2 linked regions of the Astyanax mexicanus genome follow. The protein of the gene in region 1 binds, or shares a complex with, the protein of each later gene. Links are inferred from orthologs where the notes say so. Each region holds a gene or a part of one and is shown in the gene's direction. Other genes may lie near its edges.

Evidence for each region.
Region 2: dnaaf10 (region 1) and uxt share a complex: the UniProt entries of both Homo sapiens proteins name them as parts of the PAQosome complex. The link is inferred for Astyanax mexicanus from reciprocal best matches to the Homo sapiens genes DNAAF10 and UXT.

What each region holds. Positions count from the first base shown.
Region 1 is NC_064414.1:16,653,656-16,661,271, reverse strand, and holds the start of dnaaf10 (dynein axonemal assembly factor 10), read left to right. Parts: upstream 1-4,490; 5' UTR 4,491-4,743; coding exon 4,744-4,929; intron 4,930-6,088; coding exon 6,089-6,189; intron 6,190-6,280; coding exon 6,281-6,411; intron 6,412-6,515; coding exon 6,516-6,617; intron 6,618-6,728; coding exon 6,729-6,844; intron 6,845-7,616. Other genes in the region: RNA-binding protein PNO1, read right to left, coding at 1,415-1,482, 2,357-2,427, 2,549-2,666, 2,748-2,808, 3,064-3,147, 3,254-3,403, 4,100-4,264. UniProt on the Homo sapiens protein: Key assembly factor specifically required for the stability of axonemal dynein heavy chains in cytoplasm.
Region 2 is NC_064419.1:3,787,217-3,794,795, reverse strand, and holds the start of uxt (protein UXT), read left to right. Parts: upstream 1-4,245; 5' UTR 4,246-4,585; coding exon 4,586-4,668; intron 4,669-5,847; coding exon 5,848-5,929; intron 5,930-7,054; coding exon 7,055-7,122; intron 7,123-7,214; coding exon 7,215-7,322; intron 7,323-7,579. Other genes in the region: zgc:86609 (ER membrane protein complex subunit 3-like), read right to left, coding at 105-184, 471-552, 1,284-1,388, 1,491-1,584, 1,729-1,786, 2,646-2,800. UniProt on the Homo sapiens protein: Involved in gene transcription regulation. Acts in concert with the corepressor URI1 to regulate androgen receptor AR-mediated transcription. Together with URI1, associates with chromatin to the NKX3-1 promoter region.

The sequences.
Region 1 (7,616 bases):
TTGGCTTGTTCATTTTTTGTTTTGTAATGTTTATTTATTATTTGAAGTATTTATTTTGTCTGTAACTTTTTCTAATCAGCTATTTAACTTGTTTTCAGAGGAGAAAAATAATATTCAGTATCCGTACAGACCTTGGTTATGATGTGCCAATCAGAACATGGAATTGACAAACTTTACGTAAATACTGCCTGTCATTATTATTTTTTGGGCAAACATGTTTGGTGCATTTTTTTTTTTCAAGCCAAAAACATTTTTGTTTTTTATTTTACACATTGTGGTATGCGATATTTATCATTATTGCATTTAATCATGTTCCATGATACCGTTTTCAATTGTGATAGATTGTTTATTTATAAATATTTATATTATTGCAGAGTAACTTGTGTTTAACTCTTGTGAAACAGTCAAACAGAAACAGATGCCAAGAAAACAGCTGTGTTCATAGTTTACCTAAACATCGTCTTCTTTAGGGTCTTTTTAAAACAGGTGCACTGAAATAGTCCTAATATACTATCAGTGAGCATATATCAAATCAATCTACTGCAAAAAACTGGTCATATTAAAAATGATAACTCCATTGTTAATGGTGAATTTAATGTTTAGGTGGGACTGCAATACACTGGAAAGTTTCCGCATGACAAGTTTAGAGTCTGAGGGGAAAGAAGGTTTTCCTCTTTAATCACTCTCTGTATTTCCTTCATCGTTCTTTAACTGCAGCTCTCTGTGCATCTTGAAACCCTTGGAGCTTCTCCAGTGCCTGCATGCACGTTTTCCTTTCTGCATGTTTTCCAATTTACAGCACTCCTACTGTTTACACTTAGATTGTGATGTTAATATCAAATATCTAAGAATCATGGATGTTGCCTATGTTTAGTTAACTCATTTCTTTTAAAATGTTCCTGATTAAATTAGAGTGGCAGGGACCTGACTGGGATTTACTCAGTCAAACAGAAGATCTTACATACTGGTTGTGGTGGGTTTTTTTTTTTTAATATTAAAACATCATTTATATGGGGAAAGTAAACTTCACTCCAGCTTTACTTTGATGGAATGGGAATTTCACCACATTTCAGGTGTGGGATGTTCACTCTGCATGCTGCATTGTATTGCCTACTGTGGGAATACACAGACTTGATACTGTATGAAAATAAATCTTTAAAATATCACATTTCTCACTGAATCTATGAGTTGCCTCTTTTCCAGCGCTATGTGATTTTTATTTATTTTTGATCAATTCTTAAGTGAATATTTACAGAAATTACTGATCCATCAGACAGTCAGAAATGACGGGACAGTTCTTTAGTTCCGGTTGGGTATATTTCAGACCCGTGTTCCTGTGTGTCTAATCTGCCACATTTCTGTATGAGTCCATCAGCTGCACCACAGGTCCCAGATCAGAGAAATCCAGCCAGCGTTAGAATCTCTCAGCTGAACGACTGGCAACCGCTCGGATGTTCCCATACACCTTTGATGGTGGGCTCCCTGATGAGGTGAAAGGAAACATCAATCCAGTTACTAACCATCCATTTCATCACCCAACCTCTTATACACACATACACACACACACACAGCTCAGTGGCCTCCAAACCTCACCCACAGAGCTCCCTTACAGCACGTTACAATTCAAATCCAACACCTTTCTTTTATTTGGGTAAGGTTGGGGTATTAGGTTACGGTTTAAATTATTATTTTTTTGGACATATAAAACAGTATAAAAACATTAAGGTAATCTATGTTGCACCCTTTGCTGACACGGATGTGCTAACACAAACACACAGTGTGTCTAGTCTCTGTAGAGTACTTGATGCTAATAGAATAGGACTAGATAAAACATGATCCTTTTCACCCCATACCTAATGCTACACAGTGGAACTGTGTTCTCTAAAATGATGAAGCTTATGTAGCTAAATGCAATTAACTGCTCAAAGAAATGTTTTAAGTATAAAGTCTTCCCTGCACAGGAGACACAGTTAAGGCTGGTTTATACTTCTGAGTCAAGTCAACGCATTGCCTACAATGTAGTCTGCGTGAGAGCCTGACATAGTGGGCATGTTTATTCTTCTGTATTCATGTGTACACGACTCTGAATCACTCTGCAGTATAAACCATGAAGGCAGGAACACAAAGCTCAGTAGACCAATCACAGCTGCTGCTGCTGCTGTCAGAGTTCTATAGTTACATTTCTGGGGAGGTGTGCGTCGGGTTATGGCGTAGGTTCGATGCAGAATTATAAATTGGAATTTACTCCAACAAAAGCACTTAAAATTATTTAAAATAAATTTAAAAGAAACAGTGAATGTCAGGTGTTCCAATACTCCAGGAGCAGGTTAAAAGCCACCAGCCTGCCTTTACTTACCCAAAATGAGATTGCATATAGCTGTCCGTGCCATTTTTATGTTCTGAAAAGATCCTAATATGTGAACCTTCCTGCAAAAATAAAAGATAAAATGTATTTATTAGCACACATACAAATGAATATTTTTTCTTAAAATAAGCAATTAACTGTTCAATTAAACAAAAAATGAACAAACATTTACAATGCACTCACGTGTCTGCCAGGACTATCCTAGTTTTGGTGACGTTTTCAATAGTGAATTTAGTTTTTCCTCCTTTGCCTGCTATTCTACCAACAGCTCTACAGAGGTGATCTCCTTTCAGAGGCTTAACTAAAATTACACAAATAAAACCACTTTACAAATGAGACATTACGAGGAGTAAATGCACATCAATGCTGAAATTAGACTTACCATCTGTGACATCAAATGTTTCCAAAAACAGTTCATCCAGTCTGATGAGTGCAAGTGCATCCTGAGGAACAGTTCAAAAAATTATTTTTCACAGTAATTCATAAATATACAGTGATGTGAAAAAGTATTTGCCCCGTACAGATGTGTTTTTGGCATCAACAACTGCAATAAAACTGTTTTTTTTATATATTCACTTAGGTTATCTTTTTTCTGAAAAATGTAAGTATGACAAAAAAAGCAAAAACAAGAAATCTATATAGGGCAAATACTTTTTCACTGCACTGTAATCTTCAAAATACTGTGTCTAAATACCCACCTCAACTTGAAATCCCAAAACAAATGCCTTTACAAAGTCTGCTGCTTTCGTGAGCGCACCAATATCTTGTGTTTCCTTGCACGTCTGAAAATGTATAAATAAATACATTTACGAAAAGGAAGAATAATGAAAGAGTTTCACAGTTCCAAGCCCTTTCACAACCACATTTAATGAAATAATTTGTCTTTACCTTAATCTCAACATTTCTTGTTTTGAGATTAAATCTGACTTGAAGTTGCAGGTTCTCAACAATGGGGGTAAATATTTTAAGCCAGTTGTCCTTCAACGGTGTGTAGCGGTGAGAAGGAACAGGTATTTTCCTCATCTCATCAGCACCTCCCTGAAAAACAAACCAGATATGTTTAAGATAACAAAACAACAACAATAAAAACACTTATTTTGTAGTGTTGTAAACTCCTGTACACTAACTCTCTCATTCTGACTGAAGAGATGGAAGTGACGAAATGGCTCTTAGACGAGCTGAGCGAGAATACCAGAGACTCAAACTTATATTAATAGATCATCATCAACAACACTGATAAACACAACCTGATTACAGCTAGCTAAAATGTTGTCTGCTGTATCCATCCTTGTAACGTTACCTAAATATTAGACATTATCTTATTTACACGTGTGAACACCTATGGAACCAGGATTTAAAGCCCACATATTATCGATCTGGACACGTGTGAACGAGCCTGAACAAACAGCGTGTCTCTGACTTCTACTGGATACGTGTGTGCTTGGTTTTATGGGGTAGTGTACACATAACCATTAGGTGTAATAACTTTGTTAGAGCGCTTATATATTTTTTGTTAGGTTAAGTTTTTTTAGTAAACACACTTGCTAACAAGTACCGTGGCTACTGCTCATGCTGAGGATCTGCGCATGCGCAAAACAGCACACGTGTATGGCTTTGCCCTCAGAAACTCTTTGACATTTCTATAAATAAACCCGCAGCTACCGTCGGAGTCAATCCGATTATTAGCCTGGTTATTAACCTGGGTCACAGGACAGAACCCGGTCAGTGTTGTACCTGCAGTAAATCGCCTGATATGGGGGGGAACTGCGGCCTCTTGGGCGCAGCAGGCTCGTCGCTCTCCATGCCCGCGTCCTGCGCCGCTCTCTTCCGCTTCTCCCGCCGCTTCCCCCGGACCTCCTCAAACCCCGGCTCGGGCAGCGTGCTCTCCGCGGTCTCCATGCTGGAGGGTTTGGTGTTTATTCCTCAGATTCAATAAAAACAGGAGAATTAATAACTCCCTGTTTACCTGTAGCACGCGCTCCCTCACTCTACTCACAAGGACCCCGGGCCGAGCTGTCTGAACACGCCGGACTGAATAAAAGCGGGAGCAGCGCGGCGAGGGGAGATAAACACCGAGAGAAATGTGATTAAACTGTGTTTAAGATTGAAATGAAATAGAGTTAGTGTGCTGAGGGCAGGGCTGTCTACGATGTGGTCTGAAAAATAAATATTTGTATGGGCCGGGCGGTCAGGCAGTTCTGTGGACAGCTGCGGTGTTGGTTCAGGGGTCCTCGGTCGGTCAGAGTGCAACACTGAAGCGTTAACGTTAGTTAGTTCAGGTTAGAGTAGAGAACTGAGTTCTGTATAGTGGAGCTCTGTGTGTAGAGCTGTATAAATATATATTTTATATAGTAAAGTTATATAGCGGTAGGAGCGGGATGTCGGCTCCACTGGACAAGCCGCAAGTTGTCTCCCACAGTCAGAAGAGTCTGAATTACTCGCTGTTCGACAGTAAATGGATTCCCTGCAGCGCGAAGTTCGTGTGTTTGGGAAGTTCCTGCAGAGGAACCGGATTAATGCAGATCTACGAGCTGCAGCACGGAGACATAAAGCTCGTTAAAGAGGTGAACTCTAGCTCTTTATCACTGTATCGCTGTAAAAGTGTCTGATTCTCTAGTTTAGAGGGTCTGTAACTCGCTAATGTCTCTGAGATTTCTAGAACAGTCCGGCTGTCGGTTGTCATAGCAACGGGGATTAACAGGGACAGCTCTGATAATATATTTCAGCGTGTTTTTACAGCAGCCACGTCCTCGTGTGATACGAAAACAACACTGAAATATACAACTCTGATGAGTTTCTTTGATTTTACTAAATTTTAGTAAACTTACTATGTAATATAATCAAGAGGAATATGGATGATCACAAGCCATCAAACCAAGCTGAACTTCCTGAATTTTTGCAACAGGAGTGGCATATAGTTATCCAAAATCAGTGAGCAAGACTGGTGGAGGAGAACATGCCAAGATGCATGAAAACTGTGATTAAGTTTTTTTTTTTTTTTTTCATTTTGTTGCAGTAGTGTATTCTTGTAATAATTTTTATAACTCAGTGTTTTGTCATATTGCCAAGAGTATTGTGATCACGAAAATACCATGAAATATTGTGATATTATTTTAGGGCTTCATCAACCACCCATACTCCTTTATTAATCTCTCCACCTCTCTTCACTTCAAATTCTATGATATCTCACTTAGTAGCTCTTTTTGTCATCCAATGCAATCAAATCCTCACAGCATTGCTCCAAATCTAGTAGAAAGTCTTTCCTGGCCAGATGTCACAGTTGCTACAATAAAAGCAGGATAAACTTTTATTTAGAACTTGTATTACCAGAAACAATGAATGCAGCATGTGTCTCGATATTTTAAATATTTATAACTTCCAAGCAGAGATTCTAACAAAACACAATACTGTTCAGAATAAATTTGTCTTTAGCTTTACTTAACACTTATTACTTGATTTTTTTTTTGTTATTTTTGTTGAGTATCCCAGTTTCGGTGCATCCCTACTAACAACGATGGCCGTTGACTGTGTTTGCTTATGTTCCCCACAGTGCTGATCAAAATTCTAGGAAATGTATATATTTAAACATTTGTATGTACTCATGATTTTATGATCTTAAGTTACATTTAATCTAATCCTACATGTAGTGTACTGATCCGCACACATGCTCATGACTGCATTCATTAGCACTGCTTAGTTTTGTGTTCTGTTTCTGTATTTCAGACGGAGAAAACCAAGCCCATAAAATGTGGGACGTTTGGAGCTTCATCTCTCCAGCAGAGGCATTTGGCCACAGGAGACTTTGATGGAAATCTACACGTGTGGTATTAATAATTTTTTTTTCTTAAATTTTTTTCTTTCTAGTATGTTAGAGTTTTTACTAACAGGCTGACTGAAGTATGAATGTTTGTTTAGGAATCTGGAAGCGCCGGATGTCCCGGTTTACTCGGTGAAAGCCCATAAGGAGATAGTGAACGCTGTTGATGGCGTTGGAGGTTTAGGTATTGGAGATGGTGCTCCAGAAATCGTTACAGGAAGCAGAGACGGTATGCGTTACTGCTTTCGAGATGCACACTACAATAGAAAGTTTGCTATTAGGTACGAACAGTAGTTTGTAATCAGGCGTACGTATTTTGACTTGTTTTTGTAGGTACAGTTAAGGTGTGGGACCCGAGACAAAAGGACACACCTGTGGCAAACATGGAGCCAGTCGAAGGAGAAACTAAGAGAGATTGTTGGACAGTTGCTTTTGGTGTGTATTTTACACTATATCCAGTTAATATGTCAAAAGTTTGCCAACAAGCACAAACATGTTTTACTCCATTTAGTTGTAAATCTTTATTTATTTATGTTACATTGAAAGGTCACGCCTTTAATGACCAGGACCGCTGTGTGTGTGCTGGTTACGACAATGGAGACATCAAGCTGTTTGACCTGCGGAATATGTCTGTACGATGGGAGAAAAACATTAAAAATGGCGTATGTGAAATTTTATTTCTTTCTCATTTAAGTGTACGATTTATTAGTTTTAGTTGGAATCATGTCCTCAGGTTTTCTGCAAAACATTTTTCTTTGGTCTTTTTGTCAACCCCAGTGCTCCAGAGTTTATAAGGACAGCATTAAAACCTTTACAATTTGTGATTAGGATTACAGTTTAATACTGCTTTACAAACATCAAATAAATCAGACATCAATGTTGAGGTGTCTTGTGTAAATGTCATGTTTAACATCGAACCACAGATTTTCAGTGCTGTAAATAGGAACTATTCTCTTACATTAGCTGCCACACAATCCCAATGCATAATGTTTTATAATCAAATATTGTTTTTTGTCTTTTCGAACATATATGGAAAAAAAGTATTGCAGTTCCTGCTTCTTCTGAAATAGTGTTTATTCGTAGCATTGCTATGAGGATTTGATTGAGTTTAGTGATGAGCATTAGTGATGTTTGGATGCTGTTTGATCACGGCCACCTTATGCCCAACTCCTCAACTCATCCCATTAAAAAGTGTCATTCCAGCACACTTTCTCTGGGGTCTTTACACTCCTAGCCAGTGGCTGGCAAATGAACCAAAAAGGTTCATATTTATCTGCTCCAGGGAATCCTATTCTATTGGCAGGAACTAGACAAGCTGTGTGTGCACTTGCACAACAATGTCAGCAGAGGTTCTATCTATTAGAAAAAATGTCCACAAACGTATACATTAACCTATAGATTTTCCATGATTTATATATTTACTTTATCAGTCAG
Region 2 (7,579 bases), on another chromosome or scaffold:
ATCTTACTGTGCACAACTGAACCAGCTCCAAATGTCTGCTTAAAACACACACATTCAGATCATAAAATAAACAATAAAAAAAACAATAAAACAGTTCTGCTTACCGTTGTCCTGCCCGAGTATGAGAGAGTACATGCTCCGCAGCCCAAACACATTAAGGAAATACCAAGAGGCTGAACTCACCCTGTAAAAATATATTTTTAACATTTTATTTTTAAATAATAATCAAAAGAAGTGTCTAATCTCATTTTCTCTTAATCGCTTTCATAATCTGAAATCATTGCCAGAAAAATTTGCATGACTCAATATATACGCCAAAACCTTGTATCTCCAATAAGGGAATTTTAAAAAAGAAAGTAGAAACATTATTAGCTTTCAATGAAAGTCAATGTACAAACAACTAAATGGAGATACGTTATTTTTTTTCGTGACCTTAACACTATAGTAATATAGGAGTTTAAATATTATACCAGGACGCATCCAGCGACAGCAGTTCAATCCCTCTCTGCAGCATCGGTTTAAACCTCAGAGTCAGTGGAAAGGGAACCTTAGCTGTGGGTGGAAAAAGCAACAAAATACTTTAAGACTATTTCCACAATCAAGAATCAAGACTTTCAATATAAAGATCTTTATTCTCAAAGTCCTCCTGATAAAACGCTACTTTAGCAGATCAGTGAATTTTATTTGAAAGAGTCATAAAAACTGCAAAGTTTCAAGAAATTACTTTTTTAAAAACCCAGCTTTTCCTCTCTCTGTTAGCATATGTCTCTCTAAATGGAGGGAAACACTGATTATGCTGTATGGATTGACTGTACCTCAAAGAGAGAAAGAAAAAACAAAAATTACACTACTCCTTACAGATTTTAAATCTAAACAGAGCATTATTATGTAATAAATGATAAAATACAATTTATTCATATGTAGAAATCTGAAATCATGCTATCTGCAGATGCTGTAGTTTTAAAATTTACATGATTAATTATATAGGGAATAATGTATGAGATTTAGACAAGAAAACATGCATTTGATGTGATGTGAGAGTTTAAATAAGGAAAAATAGGAGTTATCAGACAAAAACGTAAACGTGTGGACGAGGGCTTTGTGTCTACCCTCCTCTCAACCCACCTCAGCCTCAACAGAAGCAGCTAATTTACAAACCCCTCTAAGACGATTTAGACCTGGAAACCCTCGAAAATGTGCTGGGCAGAAGGTACTCCAGCTCCAGGGTTTAAAACAACTCTTTGAGAGTCTTAGGAGACTCAGGATGACCAACTTGTACTCACTAGTGACAAACCCAGAGAAAGCCCAGTTGATCCAGCCACCGATTACAATCATTGGCAGCACGTTGGTGAGATTTCCTTTCATCATGTCAGTCAACATGCTGGTATCTGGAAATAGAATTCAGAAAATGTAAAAAGATCTTTTCCCACCAAAAGTGATTCTGTTTTAATTCACAGCACCCAATCAATGTTTACATCATCAGCGCTTACCAGTCATAGGATTTTTGGGCACCACTTTCCTCTTGACCTTCTTGAAGAAACCCGTTTCAGCATCGTTAAAGTAATGTTTCCTCATGGCAAATGACTGGAAATCAAACAGAGATTAACAATGAGCAACAGAGGATAAACTTTCCAGATCCAGCTGCTGAAACTGGGCCCAGAATCTGCCTGTTAAAAACTGGATATGATAATCTACTTAAAGTTGCTTCATCTTATAGAAAAAGATTACCTGTTTAGGGATGTACTTTCCATTCTCTCTGAGAACGCGGCTGCGTATCAACACCTGGCTAAAAAACACATTATAACATTAAAAAATAAATTAATGAATGCATGATTCAGTACAGAGTACAGAAAAATGTCATTATAATTAGTTATTATATCATAACTGAGTAAACAGAATAGAGTTAGTTCAGCACTGTCTAAATAAGCTAGTTTTGTATAATTTTATCAATTTTACCCAGTCATAACTAAGTAAATTATCTACATAAAATAGTTTGGGTCGTTTTTGATAAATTTTACCCATTTGCAACTGCTAGTTGTGGGTCATTTGATTAATTTTACTCAGTCATAACTAAGTAACATAACAGTGTAAATAAGCTAGTTTTAGATAATTTTATTAAAATTTCCAGTCATTACTGAGTAAACAGAGTAAAGCTAGTTTAGCACTGTCTAAATAAGCTAGTTTTGGGTACTTTTATTAACTTTACCCATAACTAATTAAACAGTGTAAATAAACTAGTTTTGATTAACTTTACCCAGTATTAACTGAGTAAACAATCTAAATTATATAGTTTGGGGAAATTTGATCAATCATACCCAGTCATAACTGAGTAAACAGTGTAAATAAACTATTTTGGGGAAATTTAATTTCTTATACCCAGTCATAACTGAGTAAACAGTAAAGCTAGTTCAGTACTGTCTAAATAAGCTAGTTTTGGGCCGTTTGATTTTCACCTAGTCAAAAATGAGTTGATAATTTAATAAGCTAGTTTTGGGTCACTTGAACAATTTTACCCACTCATAACTGGGTAAACAGTGTAATTGAGCTAGTTTGGGGTGATTTGATCAATTTTATCCAGTCATAACTGAGTAAACAGAGTAGATAAGCTAGTTGTGGGTTTGGGTTTGAGTCAGAGGTCCTCTCACCTGTCAGAGACTTGCTCCAGGTCCACTTTCTTATCACTCTGTAAAAGCTGAGTGACATAATGACGCAGAACTCCAACAAAAAACGTGATAAAGACAATGGGCAGAACTACCCACAGACGAATACTGGAGTCCAGCAGCAGCTCGGGTCCAGCCATGTTTGGAGAAAAGTTAATATTAGCTATCTAAGCTAACCAACCTAAACTTTTAAACTCGGGTCAAGTTAGCATATAGCATTTATTCTACCTCTAATTTAAATTACTGTACAGTACTAATAATATAAATAGTGACTATGCCTTATAAATACAACTTGAAAACTAAAGAAGCCCCGTGAGCCTCATTGTTGAGCTATTGAGCTACTTAGCTAATGTTAATTATGGTCTAGGACACGACTTCGCTACCTTAGCTAGGCTACAGTGCTAAGCTAACTCTGTACTCTGCAGGAGACGCAGCATGGCACGGCCAGAGAACGTATAGAGCGGAGAATACCCACTTAAAAATCTACTGCGTGTTTGTTCAACCACTAGAGGGCGCTCCACAGTGAGTCCAAAATGAATGGACTCATATGGAGCAATTGAGCAAAATCAGTTTAAAAATAAATTTATAAATGTTTGATATTGTTTACACTGAAATAAATACTAATTGGCTCGACCCAGAATATATTAAACGTTTCAGTACCGCAGATATCCAGTCAAAACTCCAGTATACGCCTTTTAAACGTGCTCAGTTTGACTCCACTATGACCAACATCTCTTACCAACCAATCAGCACACAGTAGTTAGCAGCATTGCTAGCGAATCTGTTGTCCAAAACCTGTTTGCTGTAGAAAAAGGAAACATACAGGCATATTTTCTTTACATTTTTAGAAATTATTTAATCCAATTTATAAAATTAAAGGAATGTCAAGAATTAGTGAATAGTAACTATTTTTTTTTTTTTTTTTAGTTTTAGTTTTTAGCTGTTAGCCCTATTCACATCCATTCATTTTGGACTCAATCTTCTAAATAAATAAATATAATAATAGATGTGAAATATAGATAATCGTTTAAATATCAGAGCAATATGCGACCAATTGCTATTAATATGCTATTAATATGATGTTATGTTTTATGTATTTTTTAAAATTTAAACTAAACAAAAATGTAAGCTAACGGTAACGAAAGAAGCTTAATGATTTGGGTCTGATTATTATTTTAAAAATGAACTTTTGTATATCTTTAAACACAAAAATATTTTTTTCTATAATACAATAATTTGTATTTTCTGTATGAAACATAAAGGAAAACGTGAATACATTTGCTAAGCTACAATTTAAACAACTGAATAAATAAAGCCTGAGCTCTTAGTTATTAAATTATTTAAAATGTGTTTAAAATTTCTAACAAATTGGAAATATCGTTTTGTTTTTTTATAAAGTAAATATATTAACGTTATTTAAATATGAACACCTGTATTATTAAAAGTATTATTAATAGTATTTATTTATTATTATAATATACCAATCAAAACGTGTAGCATATATTTTCTATTTATATTCTGAATTTTTAAATCAGTTTTAAAAAAATATAATAATAATTAATTTAAGTTCCTCTCGTTTCCTGCTGCGTGTCATGGCTATTTCCGGTATCTTGTAAACAACCGCTTTACTCTCACATGGCGCAGGATTACGCGAGGCAGATCAGTAATTATTAGATATTTACTCGCAGGAAAAGTGTTAATATCTCAGCGTGTGTGTTTTATGAAGCTAGTTAACCTGTCAGTCCTGAAATAACTGCTAGCTAACTAGCCTAGCTAGCCTGTTAGCAGGTTCTCAGCTGTCAGCTTCATTCTGCAGCTCAGGAGAAGAAAAACCTGAATTTCGGTGTTTTAATGAGGTTATTCTAGATCCAGCTTGTTTTTTTACCGTGCCACGTGGAAACTGCAGCTGTAACTAAATTAGCAGGATGACTTCTGGTAATCTCAACATCGACGACAAAGTCCTGCAGTATGAAGCTTTTATCAGTGACGTTCTGAAGAGAGATTTACAGTGAGTAGCTGTACACTGACATGAGAAATTTGTTTATTTAGCCTTTATATACATCACACTGTGTTGTGCAGATGTTTCAGGCACCTTGGTACCTTATTGGTGCTGAAAACTTGTGGATTCTTATTTATTTATCCTGTACAACAGAGAAAACTGTTTCATCAGAACATTTGTGACTACACTTGAAGATAATTTTAAAGTTCTTTAAAATTGTTCCTTTTAAATTGCCTGACCTTCATTTTTCTTAAACATTTGTCTTTATTTTATTGAGTAGTTCTTGCTTCTCATAATATGAATTAGAACATTACTCAAATAGGGCTAATCAATGTATACCTATTCTACCGCTTCACAACTTTACAACTGATTCTTTCAAACACATTATTCAATTAATTAACAAGAAATTAAATGAATTAACTTTTAATAAACTAATTTAATGTCATCTGCTGGTGTTGGTCCACTGTGTTACATCAGGTTCAAAGTCAGTGCACTGTTATCCCGGAAGATCTTACAGCGGATTTCATTATCCAGCAGGACTTGGCACGCTGCCCACTCTGCCAAAAGGACCAGTTGGTCTATTCTAATTTTATAGACTGAATTTGAAGTTTTCATTGGCTGTAAGCCATATTAATCAACAATAATATAAATAAAAGCCTAAAATAGATCAATCAGTGGACTGCACTCTCCTGGATTGCATGTCTTCTGCAGACTGTTTGTAGGCTTTCTTTTGCTTCAGTTTTAGAAGATGGCTATCCAGACTGAGTTAATATAGTATGAATCCGATGGTCTGAGCAATGACAGGCTCCAATGTCTTCATCCACTGCAGCAATGCTGGCAGCACTTATGTGTCATTTTTTAAGCAAACATCCGGATATGGCTTATATAAAATTTGAACCTGTCCTGTTAAACCGCTGTATGAACTTGGCCACTGTGCTGTAGCTCAGTTTTAGTATGCTAGCATATGGCCATCTTTGTGTAGAGCAACAATTCAGTTTCTCACATCCTCAGAGAGTTCTTTATTATGAGGTGCCATGTTAAATATTCATTTGCCATTATAAGAGAACCCCACATTTAACACTCATGCTCCCCATTCACACCTGGCCAGATAAGATGCTTTTTAATTCTAATGTTTTGTACTGCATTATATTTATATATATATAATGTAACTGTGCTTGTTTTATCTAGGACAGTGTTGGAACAGAGAGATGGAGTGTATGATAAAATATCACAGTATCTCCAGCTGAAGAATACAATCAAAAGTATTCAGGTACACTTTATTGTATTTTATTTGTTTCTAGTTTCACTGCCTCTCAACTGCATTCAAATCTGTACTCTCATGTAAAAATGACCAAAAAACAGAATACCGGTATTAACATATTCCAGTAAGATGAGCATCTAAAAGTAGGCCACCGTGTTAAAACCACTCCCATAGCCTAAAGGAAGATACACACACCTAACAACCTCACTGTGCATGTTTTTCTCAGGATTGGTTTTAGTTACAGGATCAGATTCGTTTTTTCCTGATTCATTCATGCATTTTCTGCTGATACTGACCTACTGATATTATGTATCTGCTCCATAGCTTTTGTAAACTGAGCAAAAAGGAGCACTTGCACTTTGCAGTTCAATAATTATAGACTGTAATCCTGTGGTTCTGTCTATCTGCATACTGCATTGCCAAGATAGCAATGAACATCTGACTGATGACTATTGTCTAGGTTGTTTTTAGTTCGTGGCACACCTGTGTTTTCTGTTGCTAAGATAGCAATAAACGAGAAATGTACCTGAACACACCTGAGGTACATTTACCTGCTTTGTCATGGTCTTGAATTGGGGTGTGCCAAATTGCATCGTCGCAATAATATTGCCAATGGTTTTGAATATCATGATCGATATTATATCTTGAAATATTGTGCCATATCACACACCCCTAATTATCACATCAGGGTACTTTTTTTTTAACTGTTTTTAGCAAAAACAATTTCAAAAATCACACTGAGCTCATTTCCCATTATATATCTCAGTTAGGGGTGTGCCATATCATATTGTATGCAATAATAAAATTACATTTTCATTTTGTTGCAGTAGTGTTTTCTTAAAATTATTATTTTTTAATTCCTTGTTTTGTCATATCGCCAAGAGTATCGATATTGTAAAATATTGTGATATTATTTTAGGGCCATATCGCCCATCCCTAGTCCTGAACATTGGAGAACAGGGTAATTTGAGGCATAGTAAAGTATAAAAAGAAACAGTGTCAAAGTGCTCCTATAGTCCCAGTGAACCTGATAACATGCACATTAAGTGAAATACAAAGAACTTGTATTATCATTAAGGCAGATTGCTGTATGTTCTCACCACTTCTGACTCTGTAGCCTTTCTTACCTTTCAGGAAGCTGACAGCAAAGAGCTTAAGACAGATGTAGACCTTGGCTGTAATTTCTATGTTCAAGCTCAAGTGTGAGTGTGGTTTCTTTGGTTTCTCTCGCTCTCAGCGCTCTCTGCCGTGTGCATCTCCATGCCTGACTGATGTGGATTTCTTTCTGTTTCAGACCGGACACTTCTAAAATCTTTGTTGCAGTTGGGTATGGGTTTTTTGTTGAGTTCACACTCTCTGAAGCGCTGAAGTTCATAGAAAAGAAGACCAAACAGCTTACAGAGTGAGACATGCTTACACACACACACACACACACACACACACACACATATATATGCAGTTTATATGTTGTTTAACCCAGATATAGAAAACATATGCACAGTCAAAGTCAAACCACTAAGCCAGTGAAGCCTTTAACATAAAAAATTGGTTTGTATACTGCATGCACAATTTCCAGTCATGCCTCAGTATCAAAAAAAAAAAACAGCCAAGTGTCACTTTAATACAGGAACTATTTATTGGAACATTACAATTATTTAT